Drosophila melanogaster: one gene and its partner. Changing the gene in region 1 together with any one later gene gives a genetic interaction. Each region holds a gene or a part of one and is shown on either strand. Other genes may lie near its edges. The genes, in order: sbb and Mer.

What was found.
Region 2: of sbb (region 1) and Mer, changing one enhances a phenotype caused by changing the other (phenotypic enhancement), as found in Drosophila melanogaster (one study listed by BioGRID).

The regions. Positions count from the first base shown.
Region 1 is NT_033778.4:18,355,045-18,358,969, reverse strand, and holds the start of sbb (scribbler), read left to right. Parts: upstream 1-1,673; 5' UTR 1,674-1,832; exon of another isoform or gene 1,833-2,914; 5' UTR 2,915-3,470; intron 3,471-3,925.
Region 2 is NC_004354.4:19,691,576-19,695,500, forward strand, and holds the start of Mer (merlin), read right to left. Parts: upstream 1,926-3,925; 5' UTR 1,861-1,925; intron 1,675-1,860; 5' UTR 1,383-1,674; coding exon 726-1,382; intron 667-725; coding exon 457-666; intron 360-456; coding exon 123-359; intron 61-122; coding exon 1-60. Other genes in the region: CG14229 (uncharacterized protein), read right to left, coding at 2,992-3,289, 3,354-3,376. UniProt on the Drosophila melanogaster protein: Regulator of the Hippo/SWH (Sav/Wts/Hpo) signaling pathway, a signaling pathway that plays a pivotal role in organ size control and tumor suppression by restricting proliferation and promoting apoptosis.

The DNA of each region.
Region 1 (3,925 bases):
ATAAGATCCGGATCTTACAGGCGAAGACCTTAAGAAGAATTTCGGGGGCTCCTTGGTATATGAGAACAAGAGACATCGAACGCGACCTCAAGGTGCCCAAATTAGGAGACAAGCTCCAGAACATCGCCCAAAAATATATGGAAAGGCTTAATGTACACCCCAACAGCCTAGCAAGGAAGCTAGGAACTGCAGCTGTGGTCAATGCTGACCCTCGGACTAGAGTCAAAAGAAGACTCAAGCGACACCACCCTCATGACCTCCCTAACCTGGTTTTGACCTAGAAAGTCTTAGTTTTAAAATTCATTAGAATAATCAAATAAATAATAATTACTATGTTATATCAACTATTATAATTCTCCCTATCATTTTTAGGATTAAAAATCTGTTAGTCTTAAGTAACCAAGACACATTGTAAAATAAAATAATTTAAGCAGATCAAATTAAGTTGCCGCATGGGTAACAGTGCGTTGATCAAATAATAAAAACATCATCGAAAAAAAAAAAAAAAAAAAAAAAAAAAAGACAAATGTAATACAGTGCTCAAATATACAAATATTTAAACAAATAGGCTTGTACCAGCTTAACCTAAGCGCTCCTGATCTGAAACTTGGGCTGAGTGGAACTTATTTGCCTTTTGCATCGGCGACTGCTAAAGGCAACTTTCAAAATGCTGACGACGAATTGAAAATGCTCATGTTCTGCAATGCACCCTATATATGTAAATGTATACATATGTATGTATGTATATACAGCAAGGATATTTCTTGCCCATCATCATAATAATAATAAGGTGGCACAGGAAGGCGAGAATTACCACTGTCAAAGTTACACAAAGGTCAAATGGAACATTATGGCTTTATTTTGCGCCTAATAAATCTCATTATGTCATTATATGCTACTCCCCCAACCGCCAGCCCACCAACGAAAAAAAAAAAAACAAGGAGGAAATGGTCTTTGGTCGAGGAGATGGTGGAGGTGGTGGTGAGGTGTGTGCGTGTGCCTGCCAGCGTGCGTGTGGTGAGAAGGTGAAAGACAATAAGAAGGAGCAAACGGAAAGGAAGAACAACTACAACAAAAGGCAACTGACTATAGGCGAACGACATGCCAATCAGTAATCAATCCTCAGGACCCCACCAAAAACAATTTGCAGAGGCATAGCAATAACAAGAGCAACAAACGCAATAACACAAACAACAACAGCGGACAAGTGAGAGACCACACGACGGCACTGTAAACAAATTGGAAAGGGATGAACATACATAACTGCGCAATATGGCGTCGGCAGAGCAAGAGAGCGGGAGAGGGCACTAAGAGCGCACGAGCAAGAGCGAAAAAGCCGCCATTAAAGAAATGCCGCTCAGAGACCGTTTGTGTATGTGCATGGGAATGCCAGTGTGTGCGATGTAAGCAGTGGATGTGTGTGTAGAAAATGCCGCAGGGTTGTCAAGTGGCTGAGAATATTAACAAGTAAATAATCTTTTTATTAGTAAATTGTAACTTTATTGCTTTTAAGAGTTTGAAATCGCGATAACTATATCAGAGAAGCATTCGACTAAAAACAAGAATTCTTTCGGAACCATATAATTACCGAAATGTATTTGTTATTTTTCCCCATATAGCCGACAACCCTGCGCGTTGCTAGCCAACTCTCGCCTCTCAATTTATGCGCTTTTGTACGCGTTGCTCCTTCGGTTCGTTCGGACAGCACGGATAAAACGCTGTCGCCAAACAAAAACATAAAAAACACTGAGCGGATCAGGTTCTATCTTTAATTAAGAAAAACAACATCCCAAAAACAACAAGCAAGAAGGACTAAAATCTGTGGAAAAGAAGTAAGCAAAGCTGTTCCCCAGTGTGATTTCCTCATGTGCATTTAATGTAATTCAACTCGACAACAAAATAATAAGTGTTGTTGGCCTCTCGCTCTCTGGTCGTACCGCGTATCTGTGTGTGCGTGATTTAGTGTTTCGTCGCGTTTCAAGCAATTAACCCAAAGCAACGTAGAAATGCCAAAAACGCATTAAAAATTATTACTCGTAGCTGTCTGTCATTCACAACAGAAAAAAAAAATGAAAAGAGAAGAGTAACAACAGCAACGAGAAGAAGGAGGAGAGCGACAATCATACACAAGTGCTATTTGCCGCTACTCATAAAACAAATTACCCACTTGGGCCTGACTTGTGCGTGCGTTTGTATGTGTATCTCTGTGTGTTAAAAGAGCAGCGTAATCATCATCGCCAAAAAAAAAGGAAAAGAAAACTACTAAAAAGTAGTAGTAAAAAAAGAAAGGAAAAGGAGACGAACCAAAATGAGAGTGTGGCACTGGCAATATGTTGCTGCCAATAACAACAACAGCAACAGAAGCTTCATCAGTTGAATAGTACCGGAATAAAATTACTATACAGCCACTGCATGTGCTTGTGTGTGTGTGTGTGTGTATTGCGCTCTCCCTCTCTGTCTCTTTCTTTCTCGCTCGCACTGCCAGCCGCTGTGTATGTGCAAAGCTTTTTTATGTTTCGCACAAACATTGCGGTAAAAGAACGCCGACAAACGACGAACCCGTCGTCGCTTTGTCGCTCTCGCCAATTTCCGCGCGTGTGCAAGGTGAAGTCGCGTCGCGTCAGTCCGTCGGTCGTATAGTCTCTCTTCGTGTCCACTTCTCCCCTCGCTTGCCGTATCTCTGTCGTGCAACAACTCCCCCGTGTATTTTTTTTCTATGCCCCAAGCTCTGTTCACCGCCTCTCTTGCTATGCATGTACACGTGTATGTGTGCGGTGGAGCAGCTTCTGTTCTGCCAAATACATATGTACAGGCGGAGAGAAGGCAAAGGCAACAGAGCTTGGACACGCGCTCCCTCTCTCGTCGTCTCCCTCCCTCGCCTTACTCAAAGTGCCGTTTTTTCGTGTATTTGTAGAGAAATAAAGAAAAAAACAACAACTAACCTCATAAAAAAGTTCATACATTTGTCGCAAAAAAAAGAAAAATAGAAAAGAGAAGCAAATGCAAAAAGTGTCAAAGAAGTGAAAAACAAGCAGAAAAAAGAAGCAGCAGCAATAGAATCCAGCAGAAGCAGTGAAAAGCAGAAAGAAAAGCCAAGTTTGACTCTCTCTCTCTTTCTCGCTCTTACATAAATGGAAAATAATTCCTGAGATTGCGCTGCTAGGAAAATTTTGCGGATTTGCATTTCACCTTCCGTTAGCTCCGGGAGCTGGGAGTTTGGGAGTTTCTTTTGTGGATTATTACGCCCTCTCGCGTGCTCTCTCACTCTCTCCCCAAACCCCCCTCACGATAGTCGCTCACTGTGGGTGCGAGCAAGCCAGGAAGCAAAGGAATCATCACCTGCCCATCGCCACCCACTGCTCATTGCCACCCGACCCCCGAGCCTTCTCTTCATCTTTTGGATGCTGTCTATAAATCGGGAACGCGCATATTCAGAGCAGAAATTGCGACTATTTTGGATTTATAAAAAGGTAAGTTACAGTAATTATTATCGAATTTAGACTATCTAATTAATTTAATTTACAATTGTAATAGAGTTAATAAACAAAGAGCCAACATTTAGCTGCAATAAAATCTCTATTGTTTAAGTTTACACATCTCTAAGATACTCCACACTTTCTCTCTTGCTCGCACAGCACAGATACCTATTGAGTCAGAAGGAGAGCAAAGAAGAGAGGGAACGAGAGGGCATGAGCCTAAATTGATTTCCAGTTTGATTAATTACCGCACAAGTATTCGTGTACACATTTTTTTTTTTTCATCGAGTTAATGCCAATTAAGGCGTTTCAATCTAAGCCGATTTGTAATTAAATGGAGTTTTTTCTTGTTATTTCGAGCGATTAGAAAATTGACAGGCCGGTTGGTGTGCTTGGTTTTTTTATTATTTATTTTTTTTTTTTGTATTTTGTTTGTTACCTTTTTGAGA
Region 2 (3,925 bases), on another chromosome or scaffold:
CTGCTCCTCGTTGACACGACTCTTTTCGAAGTACAGCTCCTTGGTCTCTTCGGAACGCCGCTGGGATACAGGGAGAAACTCAATATTATAGATCAGAAGCCACTGGGCGGAGTGAGTCTTACAAGTGCATCGTTGGCCATGCGCATTTCGTTTTGCAGGTGCTCCATGCTCTTCTCCAGCTCGTAGCGCTCGTGCTCCGCCTTTTCGCGCAGCTTCTTTTCCCTGATGAACTTTTTGCGTTCGATCTGGCGGCGTTGCTTCTCCTCCTTGGCTTGGGCCTTCATCTGCTGGATTTCCATGGTGTCGGGTTTGCGGCGGCGCATATATAGATCGTGATTGCCCTTGCACAGGTCAAGAATCTGCAAAGCACACGATGCAAGTGTAGTATGAATATGGGAACATGAACATAGTGAAAATACATATACATATTTCAGTTGTCACAACTGCCCTCCTTACCATTTTGTTGATGTGGAGGTCCTGCGAGTAAAAGATGAAATTCGAAACCTTGGCATCCACCAGGCGAATGGTGAACTTCTTGTCGTCGAAGCTGACGTGCCGTATCTCGTTCCACTGGAACGTTGTCTTTGGCGTTAGCTTATCGCGCTCATCGTAGATGTTTAGGCCCACGGAGGTGACGCCCAGCCACAATTTGGTTTTGTTCTTATTCTGGTGGGGAACACAAACGATAAGATTCAGATGCGCCACGTGAAAATCAAGGCTCTCACCGTAATAGGAAAGTAGTTTACTCCGTACATGTCCAGGTCCTGAGCAATCTTCAGGTACTCCATCTCCACCTCGTCGCGCGTCATGGGCTCATGGTCCATGTACCATGTCTTGATCCGTTCCTCCCACATTTCGGGCGTCATCTGGTACTGATCGGTCACTCCCTTGGGCAGAAGCTCACCCCCGGCCAGCATACCGTCCTTGTAGGTCTCGTAGTCGTACGGACCGTATTGCACGTGCACCGCGTAGGAGGCCAGCAGCACGGACGCCTCCGGGCGGCAGTAGATGTCCATGGAGAGGATGCTCTGCTTGACCTGCAGGAAGAACAGGTGCTGCGTGATCTCCTGGATCAGCTCCTCGCTGACGTTCTCCGGAAAGAACTTGGCGTAGAAGCTAAACACATACACATTATTGCTAGCGTGCAGCTCAACGCGCTGGTCGCGCACCCGCTTCTCCATTTTCAGCCAGGACACGTTGCTGCGGGTGTCGACGTACTGCAGCCCAAAGTACCAAGACTCGCGCAGCCCGATGGTGCGGCACACCAGGTCGAACAGATCCTGGCCGGAGGCGCGCGGCTCCAGCTTGAACTCCAGCTCCGAGTCGAAGGTGCTCACCCGCACCGACAGGGATCGGTTTTTCTTGGAGCCGAAGGGGCTCATCGCGATTATGTGATGTGTTTTGATTAGATTCGACGCAATGTGATGTGATGCGTTAGATGCAATTGGATTGGAGTGGGAACTGAGTGCTCTTGTGGGCAATTCGTGATAACCTGTTGCGTGCAAAGGACTTGTTGCTCCTGCTAATCTGATTCTTGGTCCTTCTGGTGCTCCTGTGCCATCTAGTGGCACGATTCCTTGTTGCTGCTCCTGCGGTCCTCGCCTATCGCGGACTGCCTCATTTTGCAGCCAATTCGGTGCTCCGGGCAATGGCAATGGCAATTTGGGCTGATGGCTGTGAGCGGAAAGAAAGAAAGAGTAAGGCTCTTCGTTTATGCGGCGCTGCGATTTAAGAACTGCGTGGCCACGGCATCCTGGCGCCCACTATTCAACCGCTCACCCAGCTCCTTTGGCGTGGAAGCTGATTGAGGGTCGGCAGAAGGGTCTCCACATCGACCAAGTACGAGAATAGGCAACTTACTCGATTGTTTGCACCGCGAATCGCAATTGTACGACAAATTCCCGATATGCGCGACATAAACATAGACAGTGTGACCAGCCGTTAGATGCAGAAAAATCAGCTTTGGCAGACGCCTTGTATATTTAGTAGGGTGATTCCATTTCAATTTTATGGAGGAATCATAATGCTTAAATTAATCCATCTCAAACGACATAAAGCATTGAAATGTCAATATATGCACATGAAAACATATTAAATACCTTAAAAATATATTAACTTTCCATTTTCCAAAAGTTTTCAAAAACTGGCAAAACAGTGGTAGTCCAAATACCAAAATATACCGCAATATGTTTTTTCAAATTGTACACTCATTTTTAGTTATACGAATTTTTGAATGCTGCGAAATAGATTTGATCAGCTATTTGATGAAAGATGAATTAACTAAAATAACACAGTGCTATATAGAGTTGCCACCCTGTCAATGGTCACGAATTGGGAAAATGAAGTCCTTGAGCGCAATATTTGTTTTAAAGATTTGTCTAAGGATGAGATGTATTACTATGTAAATGTTTATTGGACGTATTCTTGTATTGCAGGTCCATGCTTAAATTCTCGGAATAAGCAAAATGACCATGTCAGCAGATGCGTATATAAACAATGAATAAGTCCAGCTTTCGTTTTATCAGGTCCCTGTAGCTTATTTTCCATCTCCACCGACTCAGCAATGAACTTGTACCCCCCTGGATATCGTATTTCATCGAAATAGGAAAATATAAAGATATGGAGGTTTTCTTACATTATTCTTAGAATAAATTATACATGCAGGATTATAAATACATATTGAAGGGATGGTAACCGATGAACATAGTTTATATATATTCATGTGCGTGTTTGGGGGACTCTTAGCTCAATTTATACTACTATTATTATGTGTATGCATCAGGGGTGATGCTAATGCCATGCAAGTAAACAATGCTTATCACACAAACGCAAGTGACTCCAGACACGGATATCCGAATCCGTGCGCAGAGAAGACTGAACGGAGGCGAATTACTTTGAACCTAGAGAGAGTGTTGCTGCAGATAACTCGTGTTGGCACTTAAATGGCTGTGCCAGGACTTGGACTCGCACACCGGAATCCATGATCACTAGCTACTGGCTGCTCCGCTTGATGCGCTCGACATGCAGGTCGTACAGCATCTTGTTCTTCTCGTAGTAAAATGGGTTTTGTTCGGCTCCCAGTTCTGGGTTGTATTCGTATCCGGCCGCCACACCGTTTCCGGCTGCATCGGACCCGCCGGATCCACCAGTCGCTCCTCCTCCCGACAGTGGCGGAATGCTGCAGCTGCTGCTGCTGCTGCTGTTCCCATCCTCGTAGTTCAGATTCAGGTTGTTGATGCGCTTCGAAAGGGGCGACTCGCAGGCCAGTTCATCCTCCCGGCTGCGCTTTCTGTGGAGGAATGGTGTGCGTTTGATTAGCGCTGGGACCTCACTACCTTGGTCAAGGTGATTACCTTGTCTTCAGGAATCCAGCCATTCCGATCCCGGGGCCAGTGCAGTGTGTTGGTTTCGGTTCCTATTGGTCAATTGTTTTGTCCTGCCCCGTTTCACAGCAGCGACATCCACCAGTGTGACTGCCTCGAAGTTCGAAATTGGCTGTGGGATATACCAATGGGTTGTGCTAAATATACCGCTAATCGAGGTTTGTTTTTTCTTAAATGGAAATCACAAATAGCCAACCCAAACAGCAGATATTGTTAAGAAAACCGAGATTATATTGTATCCAAACAAATAGAATATTTTTGGGAGGGAGGGATAAAGTGAATCTAAAAGTTGTCTCAGTGACAAATAGCGCCAAGTGAGAATATTTTATACCCAACAATTACTTCACGATGACACGATGAATACAGCTGCGGTTAAAATAATAACACTACTGCAGGTGGAAAGTTGATTTACCAAAAAAAATAATTAAATGTTTTATTTTTTTAAGTCAGATTGCATGAATAATAAGAACCATATGTTGTCTCTCTGAGCAAGAAATTTTTACTCTCTCAATGTAACGGTTCTTTTTGTTTTTGGGCACTTG